Linked DNA regions of Mus musculus. The protein of the gene in region 2 interacts with the protein of the main gene of each other region in a pairwise test. Links are inferred from orthologs where the notes say so. Each region holds a gene or a part of one and is shown on either strand. Other genes may lie near its edges.

What was found.
Region 1: the proteins of Cnot1 (region 2) and Cnot4 interact in a two-hybrid assay, tested with the Homo sapiens proteins (3 studies listed by BioGRID and IntAct, with this or other methods). The link is inferred for Mus musculus from reciprocal best matches to the Homo sapiens genes CNOT1 and CNOT4.

The regions. Positions count from the first base shown.
Region 1 is NC_000072.6:35,075,797-35,084,741, forward strand, and holds part of Cnot4 (CCR4-NOT transcription complex subunit 4), read right to left. Parts: intron 4,431-8,945; 5' UTR 4,339-4,430; coding exon 4,165-4,338; intron 2,383-4,164; coding exon 2,185-2,382; intron 1-2,184. UniProt on the Homo sapiens protein: Has E3 ubiquitin ligase activity, promoting ubiquitination and degradation of target proteins. Involved in activation of the JAK/STAT pathway. Catalyzes ubiquitination of methylated RBM15.
Region 2 is NC_000074.6:95,737,747-95,746,691, forward strand, and holds part of Cnot1 (CCR4-NOT transcription complex subunit 1), read right to left. Parts: intron 8,450-8,945; exon of another isoform or gene 8,314-8,449; intron 7,946-8,313; coding exon 7,829-7,945; intron 7,308-7,828; coding exon 7,197-7,307; intron 6,895-7,196; coding exon 6,817-6,894; intron 6,645-6,816; coding exon 6,467-6,644; intron 5,489-6,466; coding exon 5,358-5,488; intron 4,332-5,357; coding exon 4,035-4,331; intron 3,324-4,034; coding exon 3,183-3,323; intron 3,089-3,182; coding exon 2,984-3,088; intron 2,182-2,983; coding exon 2,062-2,181; intron 1-2,061.

The DNA.
Region 1 (8,945 bases), on a different chromosome or scaffold from region 2:
GGATCTTACTTCTTTAGCTCAGGATGTCTTGGCACTCACTAAGTAGCCAAGTTAGACTCAAACCCATGCCCCTCCTGCTTTAATATCCTGAATGTCCAGATTACAGGTATGAGTACTTGACCAACCCCTTTGCAAAGAAGCGGGTCTCTTGACTGTGACATAAAACACAGCACATTCCCTGGACCTAGAATCCTAGGTGTGTGGTAACGGCAGAGAGCAGGAAAGAGGAGTGGATGTGTACCATGGAACGTGCGTGGAGGTCAGAGGACAGCTTGGCAGAGTTAATGCTCTCCTTCTACGACTCCATGGGCTCCAGGGACTGAGGCCAGGTCATAAGACTTCCACAGCAACCACTCTCACTCTTGGGGCATCATGCTGATCCAGATCCTAGTAATTACTGAGCTGCATCCAGTTCTAATGCTCATGAGGCTGTTCCAAGTAACAGCTCCCTAAGATTCTCTGTTGAGTCAGACGAATTTTAAAGCCTTAGTACAAACTCATCAATCAGTGAATATATAGTTTTCTAGTCTTTACAAAAAGAGACAGTAGGTTCAGTTATGGTTAGATATGAAGTTATCCCCCAGAAGATGATATATTGAAGGCCTGGCCTGCAGTAGATATGAAAACTATGACCTGGGAGGCAGTGCAAGCTATTTGAAGTGGGTCCCATGCAGATGAAGTGGGTCTCTGAGATGTACCTTTGAAAGGTATCTTGTTCCCAGCCTTACTTTGTCCCTCTTTCTGCCTTTTCGCCACATGAGATGAGTATCCCCCTCTGTCATACTCAGTTTCTGGCAGGATGACCTATCTAACCTTAGGCCCATAGCAATAGAGCTAGCTAACAATGGACTAAAACCTCAGACAGAAACTGTAAACAAAAATAACCCTTGTGTTAAGTGCACTCCACTACCCAGCCAGGTATGTGCCACAGTTAGTAAGAAGCTGCTGGAAATGGCCTAAGAGAGTGCAGAGAGTGCTCTACTATAGACAGAGCCAGTCCTTCACATCATGAGGAGCATGACCTCAAACTCACTTCCAGGACTCATCTTAAGACCTCAAATTCAGCGCTCTCCTACTGAAGCAAACATTCTAGCTGACACAAGCTTCAATTTTCTTTCCCAACAATCTTGTAAGTCTTTCAGTGGAATTAAAAATTAACAGATGAATGTTTAAAGCCTACAAGAAAACATGAGCTCAGAGTAACTTTGATTAGCCTAACTGAAGGAGGAAAGAGAAAGGTTAAGAGCCACTAATTAGGGACTGGACCACAAAGGACTTGGTCTCTCGTTACACTTAGTCAAATTCTCCTTCTTTCCCTAAATTTAGCTTAGAATGACAACAGTAAAGAATGATAACACAGAACAGCAGTTCTGAATGAACAAGAGTTACTACTTGGGGAGCACTGAGATCGCTCAGCTACTAAAGGCACTCACTCTTGGACCTGCTGACCTGAGTTTGACCCCAGAAGCCACACAGTGGAAGGAGAGAACTGAGTCCTGCAAACTCCTCTTCTGACCACACACACACACACACACACACACACACACACACACACACACACACCAACTTGGACAGCTGGTTAAGATTTCCTATTAGGGTCAAGTAACTTTGTCTTCAGTTAATTGGTCCACACAGCCACAGGAAAGGGATAAAGGGGGAACAAAACAAAACCAAAAACCAAAAAAGCCCAAACCTAGTCACAGCTCATATCAGCCTTAAGGGTGACAGGATCATTACCACGTCACAAGCTACCATCACTAAAAGGATTTTTAGGTCAAGCCCTTAGTTTCACGAGGAAACTGAAACACAGAAAGATTCAGACACGCCTAAGATCACAACTGGTCATTGGATTTTTCTTGTTGTTTTGAGACAGGGTTTCTTTGTGTAGCCCTGGATGCCCTGGAACTCGCTCTGTAGACCAGGCTGGCCTCGAACTCACAGAGATTTACCTGCCTCTGCCTTCCGAGTGCTGGGATTATGAGTGCACCACCACCACCTAGCTTTGTAAACTGGTTTATAAACATTATTAAAAAATATTATTATTATTATTATTCATACTTTCTCCAAAACTTTATTATTTTCAGAAGAGTCTTAGAATTTACCAGGGCCAACTATTATTCTCAGATAAGACGGGCAGACACAGTAAGACTATGGCACTGACAGGGAAAGCAGAAGAGGACTTACTTCTGGGTCTGCTAGGCGCTGTGACAGACCTACAACAAACACAAGGTTTTTTTGTACAACACGTACACTAGCCAAATGTTTTCTATTTTCTGAGATTTTCTGTTTTCTTTCATTTTGTTTCTGTTTTTTCTCATTCTTTATCCTTTGTAATTCTTCCTGGGAAAGTGGTTTGTAAACTGCTGGATCTTCTGGATATGGCTATAAATAAAACAAACAAGATAAAGTCAACATTAAATAAATAGAAAACTGAATAAATGATAAATATCCAATTCTGAATAGCAGGTGTGTGATTGTTAGTTTCCCTTCTTCTGACAGGTTCAACTGCTTTAAACTAGATTTTTATTTAATAAAACTTAAAAGTACTAAAGCTTAACAGAGACCACATTTCACACACATGTCTCAGCAACAAAACCAACTACTCAGTCTTGGTATTCTCATAACACCTTGCACAGTTCTTTGATAATTATGTTACTAAGATGCTGTATAAAAAGGCAAACAAAGTAATTCTTTCAACAAAATATGGACTTTTGTATATTATAATCAACAAATATTTAAGGACATCCTACTATGTGCTACAATATTAAGCTATCTCCTTGTTTGTATGTGCAGGTATGTATACATGTGTGGAAGCATTTCTTTGGGGCAGAGTTTCTCAGTGAATCTGAAGCTCACTGGTGAGTGGCTATCCTAGCAGGCCAGAAGCTCTAGGATTCTTCCCTAACTCTCAGGTGCAGGGTCATAGAAACATTCCTGTCTTTTACATGGATGCTAAGGATCCAACTCTGGTCCTCAGGAATACATAGTAGGTACTTGACCTACTAAACCACATCTTCAGCCCATATCCTTTTTGGCCCTGTTTTCTGTTTTTAAATATACTCCTAGTCTAATAGGAAGAAACACAGAACATAAATATTTAGACTCTGGCTCAAGAGTTCAAATTTAGTTCTATTATTATCTGGTCATAAGCCCTTAAACAACTCAGTCCCTAAACCTCACTATTCTCATGTATAAATTACAAATAATCCTAATAATTGATGTAAAGATTAAATAATACTCATAAAACAATTATCATTGTACCCTCAAAAAACTATGAGCAATCTCTTTATGTTTTTGTCTTTTTCTTCTCACAAAGTATTTTCCTTCTTACAGCTAATATCAGAGTCACTGGGGAACAAGAATATGGAATCAGAGTGCCAGGCTTTCAATTCCAGCCAACCTGCTCTAAAACCTTATGACCATTCTGACCTAGCCTTCTCATTTGTAAAATGAGAATCACATTTAGCCAGAGGGTTTCTGTGGAAGTAAAAAGTTAAAATATGCCCCACACAAATAAGTACTAAAGAATCAGTTATCAGTACTACTAATAATGCAATAAATGAAAGGCAGTTACTTAAAATGAAGTAAAGATCCCAGGGGTGATATGATGATTAATTTTCAATGCCAATCTGATACACCTCTGGGCATGCTTCTAATAGTGTTTCCAGAAAGGACTGAGGAGGAAAGGCCTATCCTAATGTGGATGGCGCCGTCCCACGGACTGGGGTGCACAACTAAATAAAAAAAGGGCAAAGGTCAACTGAGTGCCAGAATGCTCCCTCTGCTTCCTAACCCTGGTAAATACCTCTCTTATTTAGTACTAGAAAACTAAAGCACAGTCACCCCACACATGAATACAGACCATGGTTTTCTCATTCCATGTTATCATATCCAAACTCATTAGCTCTTTACCAATCATCTCAATCAGTAAGCTTCAAGACTGTCTATCTCCTTAGTCAGAGAGACTTTATGACTTTATAGATGCCAGATAGCTAGTTAACACAACAAAGGCAACATCTGGCCTTGGCTCTCAATCCACTGCTCTTAAAGATCACACGATGTCTGTTTTAAAACCAATCACTCATACTCATGGGGAAAAAATTATAGTTCATACTGGACAGTACAAACCTATGAAGCAGAATACAGTGGGTTTGAAGCACTTACTTTTCTACATGCAGGACAAAGCCCATTCTCATCAGTGCGAATTCGATGCCAACAAAATCGGCATATCTGGTAGCCACAGGTGCAAGGGAAAAAGTTAATATCATCTATTTCCAAGGGCTCCATGCAAAGAGGGCATTCCACAGGGTCTTCCTTTGCATCAGGACTGCGAGACATCTTCACGTTTATATGACAGCAGCAAAAGTTTATAATAATTTAAGGGAGAAGGTAATTCAGCACTGAGAGCTAAAATATAGAACTCTGAAGACCTGCAAAAAGAGAAATTTAAAAACATACCACTCACTACAGGAAAAATACTAACTTTTTGCTAAAATCATGGATAGATTTCAGAAAATTTCTGCATATCAAGAAAAAAAGAACTGGCATTATTAAGTTTCAGATGCAAGAGAGATGTAAAGGGTTCTCAGTTCTGTTCTTTTTCCAGACATTTAATGCTGATCTAAACACTGCTTATAACACATTTTAGGAAAAATAAGTAAAATAAGATGCAGCTTCAGCTTTCAGTTTTTTCAGCATAACCCTGAGATCAATGGGATGGCTCTGTAGGTAAACTGCTTGCTGTAAGAGCCTGCTGACCTGAGCACAGTCCTCAGAGCACACCGGGGGAAAGGCAACTCTGTGAGGTTTTCCTTTGACCTCTACACACACACCATGACATGTGCAAGCCAGCATACTCATGCTCTTTCATAATAATAATAATAAAAAGTTTACAACCATGCAGACTGAACTATCCTTCATTTAAAAGCTAATACTCCCACCTATGTAAAGAAACATAACTATGATATGCCAAAATGTATCACAATTTACAAAGGGGACCAATAAAAATGGGGTTTAATCACAGTTACATACTAATATCATCTGGTATTGGCAGAAAAATATAGTTTGAAACTAAACACGCATAGCATAACTGTTTACAACTATGTAATACTATGCAAGTAAAAAGAAACTGCTAAGGAAATAGATTTATAAAACATTCCTATAGTAAGTGCTATAAACAGCCTGTAAGAAATCAGACAGAGAACAAATGGGTCTTTCTTATTCAAATCATGTTTTGTGAAATGTGAATTCTCTTTAAGTTATGGAACCACAGTTAACAATTCTATGCTAAAAGTATGTTGAAATCACTATTTGCAGGTCAAACTGGAAAAGCTATAAACTAATCTACATGTTGATGTAATTCCTCATCAAAATCACATCATAATGGTTTTAACAACACACATAATATGACAAAGTGCTTCTAAAGGTTACACTGAAGAGTACTTGAGAATAACTGTCATTTTTGAAGGAAAATATGATGATTAGCCTTATCAGATACTCATCTGTCTTTGTGGTGCACACCTTTAATCCCAGCACTCGGGAGGCAGAGGCAGGCGGATTTCTGAGTTCGAGGCCACCCTGGTCTACAAAGTGAGTTCCAGGACAGTCAGGGCTATACAGAGAAACCCTGTCTCGGAAAACAAAAACAAAAACAAAAACAAAAACAAAAACAGAAGAAGCTATAACTTCTTACTACACAAAAGTAGAGAAAACATCAAAAAAAACTAAAAACTAAGAAAATAGGCCCATGAATAAATAGTAAAATGTTAATTTCAAACAGAAATCACACTACTAATTGATACAGATAGGATGAATCATTTTATAAATAGTAAGAAACATTGGTACATTTCTAACTTACACTATAATAAAATAAACCTCTGTGCAGTAGTGGCACAAGTCTTTATCGCAGCACTCAGGCCTGAGTTTGAGGCCAGTCTTGTCTACAAGAGAGTTCCAAGGACAACCAGGACAACATAGAGAAACATGTCTCAAAAAGCCAAAATAAATAAATAAAATAAAGTAATACTCAAAGCTGACTGGACACTTATCTGGTATAGTAAACTACTAAAATGTTAGAAAACTAGTTTAGTTTTTCCCCCCAACTTAAGCCCAGTTCATCCAAAATGAGATTCCATAAAAAGATACAGTTGACTTATAACATGAACAAAATTAAAGACGAGTAACCTAGGTTAGGTTCATAGCACCCACATAGTAGCTCTTAAACATCCATAACTCCAGTTCCAGAGGATCCAATACCTTCTTCTGGCTTTGAGGGCACCAAGCACATATGAAATCTTTAAAAGTAGACAGACAGACAGACAGACAGACAGACAGAAGGACAGCAAGTAGATAAAGGCCTTTTTAAATTTAATATACTGCCTATGAAAGAAGCTCTTCTACATAAATACTTACATATACCAAATATATTATGTTCAGCAATCATTATATCAGAGCAAAATACTGCCAATATAGCATCCACCAAAGGGGAGCTGATTAATTGTTAGATGAAGCAATAAAGCTGGGAATACTTATAATCCCAGCATGAGTAAGTAGAGGCAGGGATGATACAGGAATGCTGCTATAGGGCTATAGTATGAAAACCTGGCTTTTAAAAAACAAAGAAAGAAAGACACATCAATTTAGTAAGTTTGTTTAAGCTGACTTAGAGATCTATTCTTTATTAAGGTTTTAAAAAGAACAAGCTGGAAAATTACTATCTAACTCTTTCTCTATATAATAAGCCCTGTATATATAAACTTGGCTTGAATTAAAAGACTGCATCTATTTATATTGCACTACAGACACATACTGCAAATTACAGCTTTCTAGAACTATGTATGAAGGAATGAAAATCCTAAAGAAGTGACTCACAAGAAATGCATGCAAATAGTATGTGTTATTTATTCATAGGGTCAGAGACAGTTTGCTTCCTCTTTAAGTGTTCTTCTATTTTTGAACTTGTAGAAATGAATACATGCTTTTCTAATAGGAAAAACATTAGAACTTTATAACTAAAAAACAAAAAAGAATAAAAGGATTGATGAGACCGAAACCAAACCAAACCAAACCAAACCAAATCAAACCAAAAAAGCAAACGTATAATTGACAATCAACAAGCCCTTATTAATGTCCTCTCAGAAGGCAGCTAGGAGTTTAAGAAATTAAAGGCTGAGCTTGATGAAAGTATTATTGATAAGATAAAATCAAATCTGCACAGAATTAAAGCAAAGACTAATAAGTGTAGTACTACTAATTAGCTTTCTACCACAATTGTGCAAGTTAAAAGAGAAAGCTGCTTGTATCAGTTATTTTCAATTCAGAAAAAAATAACAAGTGGATTCCAGAGAAGCAACATAAAAGAAGGGCATACCTGTTTAAAAGTCTGTAAGAATGGAACCAACTCTGTACTTGAAAGAACTGTGTCCAGGTAATGACAATTTTTCCTTTTTCCTGAACTTAGAAATTTGTTCTTATAAGTATTGTTGCTTATATCAGTTTACAGTTTATCAGTAGCAATGAACAAAATGGAAAATATTAATTCAAGAAACACTAAATATGGTGCCTGCCTGTGGTCACAAAGACTTGAGAACCTGAAGCCCAGAGGATTTTCTGAGACCAAGAGGTCAAGAGAAGCAACTAGTGAGACCTGGAGTGGTGATGAGAACCCACACCATGATATGCTGGCACACACCCATAGGCCATCAAAAGGGAAAAGCAGGAGGGCTGCGCTGAGTTCCAGGACAGCAAGGCTACATACAAGGATTGATCCTGTCTCACATCAGGGTATCAGTAACTCTAGCATGAACCTCCAAAGCAGTTTTTGTTTGTTTTAAACCATTTTGATCACAGAGTATGCTGCCAATTAAGCGCTTTTTCTTTTTAGTAAGCTATTACTGTAGATCCATCCCTTTTTTTTTAATCAAAATATTTTTTCTTTTTTTTAATAGATATTTTCTTTATTTACATTTCAAATGTTATCCCCTTTCCTGGATTTCCCTCCGAAAACCCCCTATTCCATCCTCCCTCCCCCTGCTCACCAAACACCCACTCCTGTTTTCCTGTCCTAGCGTTCCCCTATCCTGAGGCATCGAGCCTTCTCAGGACCTCTCCTCCCATTCATGTCCAACAAGGCCATCCTCTGCTACACATGCAGCTGGAGCCATGGGTCCCTCCATGTGTACTCTTTGGTTGGTGGTTTAGTCTTCTGATTGACATCCTGCCTCCACTTGAGTGACGTGAGAGTGAACGCTGTTTCCCTACCTTTTTAACTGTTTTGGCTCAGTGAAGCACAGGAAGGGGGAATGAAGAAATGTAACCTTGAGACAGAATTCACATACAGCAAAAATAAGGTTATCTACTTGTGATATTTAATATAGACCTGAAAATAGGCTTTAAAATTTCATAAACAAACACACAGAATCAAGTTTATATATGGAAATTTGATGGAATGTTCAGTTTTATTAGATTTCTTACTGTTAGGCAGTCATTCAGGATAAAATTAAATAATAAAATATTTAAGAGACCTAAAACACAGAAAAGATATTAATCCTTTAAAAATAAGGAAAATGTTTTTATTTTTCTCATCTTTCTATTGTGACTCAGTAAAATCTAGAATGTTAAGTTTTATAGCATTAAACTAAAATTGTAGGGCTGAAGAGATGGCTCAGTGGCTAAGAGCACTGGCTGCTCTTCTAGTGGACCAGGGTTCAATTTCCAGCACTCACATGACAGTTCACAATTCTTTGTAACTCCAGTTCCAGACACACATGCAGGCAATACATCAAAGTACAAAATAAAAAATTATAAAACCTTCTGTTCTACGGAGGACTAACTCATTGTACTACCAATAGATATGACTCAAGTGAGCAGGAACCATGGGGATGAGCTAGTATGTGGGGGAGAGAGAGGTGAGAAAGAGAAGTGGAATGGTTTGTGTACTATGAAGG
Region 2 (8,945 bases):
ACATTTGCACACTATGGTTATAAGGAAGAATCCACTATAAGCCACTTGAGCATTACTGTACATGCCTGAAGTATAAGGGAGAGGTGTGTGTGTGTATAAAAAGAAATGGTAAATTCTAGATCAAGGCAACAGCAATATAACTGAACCTGTCACTCCAAAACCTTGTGGTGAGCCAGTGCTTAGCTAGAATCCAAAGACCTTTAAACTCTCTTCTCTGGCTGGGCATTGTGGTACATGCTTTTAACTCCAGCATGTGGAGGCAGAACTGAGAGTCCCAGGACAGTCAGTGATACAGGCTACCCTGTGTTGGGGGCGGGGGTGCCACTACTTTGTAAACTAATAATTAAAAAAACAAAAAAAGTTGAGGCTGTAGTTTGGTGGGTAGAGGGCTTAGCACACACAAGGTTCAGTTTTTCAGGACCTCATAAACCAAGTGCAGTGGTGTATATTTGTAATTCTAACACTAAGGAGGTGGGAGGTGGGGGCAGAAGATTAGGAGGGCAAAGTCACCCTTGGCTACAGAGTTCAAAACGATTCTGAGCTCTATGAAACCCAATCTCAAATACAACAACAACAACAACAACAAAAAAAAATACACACACAAACAAAAACAAGCAAACAAAACTTAATTTGTGTATACACACTGAGAGGTGACGGGAAGAGAAAAACTAAGACTGAATGAATGGGCAGTGTTAAACATTAGTAAGTAAATGATATCCTAGTTACCAAAATTCCCATTCGATACCCCCCTAACAGGTTGTTGTTCAGGGAAGTCTTAGAGCCCCTCAAAACAAGACAGGCTACTGCAATTACTCACAGCTGCCAAGCAGTAGAACAGAAAATGGGAGAAAAAAAAAGCAAAACAAACCAAACAACAAGCTAGAACTGAACTAAAACAAGCTCCTCTGCTAGGTAGCTTTCTTAGCATAGGAAATTAATCTGTAGGCTGCTAGGGAATTCTCTATGGCCCTACTCAGCTGTGAGCCATGTAAGCTCTAAGTCAAGTAAGATATGTCTACCGGTGCAATAGTGGCATCAATATGGGGATAATCTGCCACCTTCTGGCTGAAATGAGTCCCACTCCAAGGAGGGAATTCAAGCCTCGTACTATAAAACCGGCTAAAAGCCCATGGTTGGGACGACTCTGGTGGAAAGGAAATTACTACTTTTGTTTCGCTAAGTGGACATGTTGTCGAACTGTCTTCTAAATATGCATCTTTATACTCTTAATACTCCTCTCAACCTACGTTGCAAAAGCTTGTTTTCCAATGGTTAACAGAGAAGACTGGTCAAGGAGCTGAGAATGAGTAACTGTTGAACTTTGCCCTGAACACTTCCTCTAAGGCTCAGGGAATTATTTAAACAAGGGTACAAATATGTTTTTGGGGTGTAGCTTATGTTAAGCTTCTAGGATCCAGAAAAACCCCACCTATACCCATGCCGATGAAGGCTGCCCTCATTAAATTCAGCGGAATATGGATGCATATGTGGAAGTCAGAGGACAATTTATAGCAATCTTTTTCTCTTTCCTGGGACTCCAGAGGAACTGGAGATGGATAAGTAAGAAAATAATAGAGATGAAATTAATAAAAACTAAACCTTAAAATTATTTTTAAAAGAGACAAGAGCCTCCAGAAAAGAATACAAATTCAATAAAGGTGCTTTATGTTATTTTCTTTCTAAAAGTAAATCAACAGAAACAAAGCAGATAGCAGCTCTACAACTCAAGTGGTTTATGGGAAAATGTTTTCCTTGTAGTGTCAACTTCAATTAAATGTGCTGCACAATCTTAGAAACTCCCTTTCATTAAATTTAAGTATAAATTAAAGAAACAAATATTTAAAAAAGGAAAGGGAAGTCAAAAGTTAAGTTTCCTTGAACTAAACAGTAGTCAAGCTAATGCCAGGACTCACTACACTGCTTGACATGCTGATCTAACAAAGATCAGTTGTAACCAATGGCTTCCATTTTCCTACCCGGTAACAAGCTCCCCAGCAGAAAGCAATGCACTATTAAATTGTATTCCACAACACAAACAAGTTAATCAAATGAGGTATTTACCTTCATGGGCTGAGCTAAAAACCCTGTAGGCTGACTTAAGTCATTTGTAGGTAAGAAGCCAGGCACATTTCGTGCAAACTCTTCATAGACGGCTAGCTGCTTTGGGTCCACACCACCAACCTTAAAAGAAGAAAGCCTTTTTTGGGTAGAATTCACTTCACAATCAAAAGAAACGGATTATTTTATTTTGAGGTGGAAGAGTTGAGATGGAGTCTCTCTCTGGTAATAGAACTCACTAGATCAGGCTGGTCTCAAACTCAAGAGATCCTTGCTTCTCCCCACCCCCACCAGACCCCCTGCTAAAATGCCCAGCTAAAACTTATTTTCTACAAGTGATAAGCTTGCACAGAATTCTGATACAACAGTTAATACAACATATGCCAGCATTCATGCCAACAGATCACAGAAGAGGTTTTCTCATTTTCCTGTTAGAGTCAGTGTCACTTACAGTCATTAATAATTCCTTACTGGAGTCCCTATAACAGCACTGTCTGCAGTCCCTGCCCCGGCACTTGGGACTTAGTAGAGACCAGATGATTATAAGTTTGAGGCAGTTTGGTCCACATGGAAGCCTTGTCTCAACAACAATCGCTAGGAAATGCCTCAAGAGGAGACTGCCATGGAAGTCTCCTCTCCCTTGGGGTAAATAGTATCAAACCCTCACCATCTTGTTGGGATCAATAAGGAGCTATCAATAAAAAGATAAATACCAGAAAATATGAAAAGGCAAATTTAAGTTGGGAAAACACAACTTCAGTAGTCCATGCACTCTTTTTATCCTTGCTAGGAAATGTGAAAGTGAGCTGCTACCAGAGATGCTCCTTCAGCAGCAGCATATAGATGCACAGTCCTTAGGAGGGGTTCATGCAACAGTGACAGAGAAAGAGAGGGGAAGCAAGGAGGCAAGAGCCTCAGTTCTCACTTTCAGCCTGATCTGCTCCGGCATCCGCTCGGCTTGGTAGGTTAAGACCACAGGATCACAGTACCTACGTCCTTCTTGCCGGGCATGCTTCCTCAGCTCAAATTCCTACAAATACAAAACGTCACTGAGGCTCTTGTTATGAGACACTTCCTCAGACTCAAAGAAACCACAACCTTACAGATACACACTAAACACTTACAGTTGCCAATCTCTTGTCCATCTCAGGGCCTGCTTTCTCCACTGCAGTTTTCTGAATAAAACAACAAGCTAATTCACAATTGTCCTGAGCTAACTGAGCAGCAGCCTGGTCCATCATTTCCCTTTGCTGTGGGGATGCAGTCTATTGAGAACACAAGACAAAAGAAAAGAGCAATTCTAAAATGTACAACAGGAAATGCGGTATGGTCAACAGGTCATTCCATATTCTGGTACTACCTATGTACCAGCAGAAACCTACAAATATTCCTAATTCATTCACATATAAGATGAAAATACTTTTCAACATTTCATCAGGTTGTGGTGAACATACTGAACAATTTGTGAACTGTTAAGAAGCAAGAATTCTTAAATCTGATACCCACAACTTCAAAATGAAAAATTACTTGAAGTGATAAAAGTAAAGTAACTATATATTATAAACTATTAGTCCAACTGCTGTAATCTAAATTCATCTATGTTTGAGATGCTGGCTCCAAACTAAAAAAAAAAAAAAAAAAAGTCCTCTTCTCTTGGGTACTGCTGAGTATCTGACAAGTAACACTGAGCACAGAACTACATAAAAAAGAAGCAAACGCAACACTTTGCCTTAACACAACTTAGAATCTAAAAGACGCCAGAGGCTGGAAGTATCCTTCAGTGCTAAGGAGTTTGCCCTAACTCATTCTCATTCATTCATTCACATTCATTCAAATTCTCTCTCTCTCTCTCACACACACACACACACACACACACACACACACACACACACACACACACACACACACACACAGCACAGGCCCAAGCTCTTACAGACCAGTAATACATTTTATAGTACACAAAACAGTCTGCTTACACGCAGGGCTGAGGCAAAGCTGTTTTTGAGGTTGGTGGATATGCTCATCAGTAAAGGTTCCCTGCAAGTAATCATAGCCATTCCAGCTGTCAAGTTCCGCATCATGTGATGAGCTGCTATTCTCATTCGAGACTCCTCAGAATCCAGGGCAAAGTCCTTTCTGACTATCTGTTCGCACGTAGTCATAGCAATCTTAATTGAGCGATCCACCACAGGATGGACAAGCTCCTGGACAGCTCTTTCAATTGCTTGCCGCACACACTGCTTCAGCTGAGGATGAGCTTGAAATAAAGGGATCTGGAAGGAGGAAACAAGGCACAAGTCACATCTGACTCTGGTACTCCTTCAATGCTACAGAAACCACAGAGTTCACATAAAACTAACAAAGCCCCAGGAAACAGAACCTAGGAAGAAAAGAAGTCAGTATAACCTGTGATCTGTTTTTATCTGTTTAATCCCCTTCAATTTTAACAAGCTCATTAAACAAATAGTACTTGCTTATAGACATATGACTTTCTAAGTTAAAGTTATAGCTAAATTATCCGTTAGGAAGGCAGTATCAGCAGACGGCTGGCTGGTGAAAAGCACTCGCTGCTCTTGCAGAGTCCCTGGGCTATGGTTCCCAGCACCCCCACTGTGTAGCTTCACAATAGTCATAACTCCATTTCCAGATCTGCTGCCTCAGGCACACATGTGGCTTATACATGCATGCAGGCAAAACATTCCTATACATAAAATAAAGCTAAATGTAAAGACTTTGATTTAAAAATTATATATACAAACTGCATTCTGCCAAAAGAAGTAGCTTTAAATAGCAGGCCAAAGTGGCATGATAATGAAGGCCAAAGGAAAATACTATAGTATACATCAAGAAGAATCTCTTTTTATTGCTGGCATAATTAAATCACTGTGGGGTAGGGTTAAGAGTAAAAAATAGAAATCCTAACCGCTTAAAATGTTTGCCTATTGTAATATACACATTATAGATCCCCTACTTTTTAAAAAAATATCCCAGGGGAAAGCTGGTAAACAGGGAAGTAAGTAACCAAGAGTTCACTGCCACAAACTAGAAGTCAAAGCATTCTGGGGCTGCAGAGATGGCCCAGCGTTTAAGCACTTGCTGCTCTTGCAGAGGGATCAGGATTTGATTCCCAGAACCAATATGGTAGCTCACGCATGACCACCTGTAACTCCAATTTCAGGAGAGCTGATGTTCTTTTCCGATCACCTTGGGTACCTAACAAGCATGTAGTGCACAGGCATGCATTCAGGTAAAACACATAAGTCAATCTTTTAAAAGAAGAAGGATAAGTTTTCACTCACTGTAGGGTTTAGAGTAATATGAGGTGCCAGGCCTGCTAGAGAGTAGACATTGATGTCGTGGTAGCTGTACTGTGGCTGTGGTGGAACTGTGGCTGTACACGTAGTACTGGTAGCTGGTGTTGTAGAAGTTGCTACATGTAAAGTAAAGTAAAAGATAAAAAGCACATTTATCGACTGAACAAAGAAATCAGCTGGATAATAAATGGATCTTATCTATTTAAACTATGTCTCAACTCTTGAGTAGGGGCAGCTAATGTCATATTTTTCCCATTTTGAAAAAGAAATTCTGCTATTGTATGACATATGAGCCGGTCTATTAGTGGCAATGTCTACAGCACAGGAACATTTTCAGGATAATCCTGTATTAGGCAGGCCAAGCTTCCAATATCTGGCAGTGTTGTGGGTACATGTTCTCAACCTAGCCTTTACCAGGCTCATTTGGGATTTGTCAGATGCCAAGAGAAGGCTGGTGGGAGAAGAGGTGTTGGGTGCTGGTTGGCATATTCTACCAACTCCTCACCTTTAATATAACTACATCCAACTCCCAAAGGCAATCCCACCATCACCAGGGAGTATGTGTGCCTGTGTGTCTCACTAGTGAGTGCCAGTGCGTCTCTGTCTGTCTGTCTCTCCCTCTCTGTGTGCACATTGTGCGTCTGTGGAATGATTTTTAAACAGGGTCCCAGGCTGGTTCAAACTCATGTAGCTTAAGTTGTCCTCAAATGCACAATCCTCTTGCCTTTAGTTTCTTAAGATTAGAGCCCTGTACCTCTAAACCTCTTGTCTTGATGCAGATAAGATTGTCCTTGTAGGCATGACTGATCTGGCAAACCCTGGATTTTAAGAAATAATGTATACTATTATGTCATTCAAGTACTGTGATACTTAAATGTTTTGCAAGATAAGCTAGCCAGGCTATGATATAAGAACAACTCATCTACTCATAATTGCTTAAAATTATCTTAAGAGATAGTGAGACGATCTAGTAAGCCTATCCTTAGATGCTGCTCACACTTGATAATCAGATGGCTCACAGTGTGGGGTGGTTGCTAGGTGGCTTATGAGGAGTGGTGTCATCTGAGAAGGATCTGATGAACTTGTGCACTTACTTGTTGTTGTGATGGCAGGAAGCTCTTCGGGCTGCTTGACATCTTTCTTTGGAGCAGAGAGTTGCTCATCTAAGTTCTTCAGACGATCTTTATCTTTCAGCAGGTTTCCAGGTTTGAGCTCATTGATGTCTAATGCAAGGTTCTTACAGAGCACCTCAATCTCAAACTTCAGGTTTAACTGCATGATTCCAGTATTTAATTAGAATAAGAGAAAATTTGAGCTCTGTCCATAATATATCCTACAATTCAATCCACTGGTGCAATGACCACTGCCTACCCCCTGTACTGGTCTATCTTTACATTAAATCATCTGAAGGCCCAGAATCCTCTGAGAGAGGCAGCTCTTTTACCTTTAAGTCATGCTCCTGATGCAGCTCAGCCAATACATTCATAATTGCCATTGTCCAGGGGTTTGGTGGTCTAAAAACCTAAAGAAGAGCTATGATATTAAGGCAGCCTAAATCAAACCTTTACTCTGTATTATTCCAACAAGTAAATAAACATGACAGTGACAAAAGCCCCATTCTTAGATACAACCCATTCCAGAAAAACACAAAACGGAGTGGAAAGCTGATCCACTCAGCCTCTTCACCTAACTTAATGTGTAATAATCTAGGACCAACTAAGGAAGATTGTTCAACTAGCTCTATGTGCACAAGAATAAAGCTCTGATCTTTTGGTATTGTGTGAGCAGCCTCTCACCAATTCCCCAGGACTAACATTTACTCACCAGGCTGCGAATGCTGGACTCTAGAACTTTGGCAACAAAGGGCACCACATAGAGCAACTCTTGCTGTCCTTTAACGTAAGCCTCTAACAGCAAAGATTTCACATCCAAGTCCTAGAATTTTAAAACAAAACATTTGAGAAGCTGATGTTCTTCTGTTCCAGAAGTCCTCAGGGAAAAGTAAAATAAAATAAGAACCTAAGAATAGTATCTCATGGCCTAGTCGGCCATCACTGGGAAGAGAGGCCCCTTGGTATTGCCAACCTTATATGCCCCAGTACAGGGGAACGGCAGGACCAAGAAGTGGGAGTGGGTGGGTTGGGGAGCAGGGCGGGGGGAGGATATAGGGGACTTTCGGGATAGCATTTGAAATTTGAAATATAAATATATATATATATGCGCAAAAAGAGAAAAAAAAGAATAATATCTCACTAAAAGCTCATTTGCCAACATACATTATCTGATTCTTGCCCGACAAAAAGCACACCCACTGGCTTTTCTGTATCCTAAAAGAGCCTAAGAGACCACGAGCACAGAAATAAGAATTCAAACATGGTCAAAGACATAAAATCCCAGTGACAATTAAAACATTTCTTATAGCCAAGTTCAAAACATATATCCATCTTAAAACTCACTGTGTGTAAGATGGGTTTATTTTTAGCTAATGTGATCATTCCTAACCAATGTCCCAAGTTCTTCAGCAAAGAACGATCTGAGAAATTGGCCGCAGCTTTATCAGAAGTCAGCAGCACCTGCGATAATACAGAATTTATAAATAAGTGAATAAGCATATAAAAGAAATTCTCAATTTCGTATTTGAGAGTTTCCCTGGCCTCTCTAAAAGAAATCAATTCTGAGCACCTACCCAAAGCAGACCTATCCCGTGTATCCCATTGGTATCTTACTGCATGCATTAGCAAACTGTCGATACTACCTTTGAAACAGGTTTTAAAGAGCTCACGAGGTGGAATACTGATCTACCATGTCTAAGACCCTGAATCTGAATCCCAGCATGACAGAGAAAGCAAACAAATGAATGGTTGTTGTTTGCCTCAGAGTACGTAGGAAATTCCAAAGACTACAGAACTCCTTCCTAGAAAAGATAACGCAAGCTGTACAGTCATGTCCCTTAACTCCATAAAGCAACAGCAAAATGGCATCAGTCAGCTGTGCTACAAGGAGCCAGGAATTCTTTTTGCACTACAGCGTAACCAAGAATGGGGAAATTTCCCATACATAGGTTTAAATATAGTGCTAGTTCCTAAGCCAGCCCCAAGTTACTCAGAAATGAAAGACCCCATCTCCATCCGGTTTGCACTGTTTCTTTACAAAGCTTCATATTTAAAAATAAATGGTAGATTAGAAATAAAATAGTTGAACTTTATGGAACAAGTATAAGAGTTTGGCCTTATACCACATAGGATCCCAGAACAAAAAGCTATTTCAAATAGGACTGAAATCGAGATATCTTGACATTCAACCAGCAGAATGAGTTTTTCTGTAAGACCATTTATTAAAAACAAGGATAGAGACCTGAGAACTTGTACCTAGTCTCCAAAGATAAGAAAGAAGTGGTCACACACGCACTCACACATGCATAGACACAACTCACACATGCATAGACACAAGTCAACAAGATGCCATGCCACAAAAATACTGAGTATTGTTCCTTATCACAGAAAAACCTATTTTAAAGAGGGACTATACTTACATAGGGTTATGTCTAAATGATTAGATTCTTGGTCCAGTAAG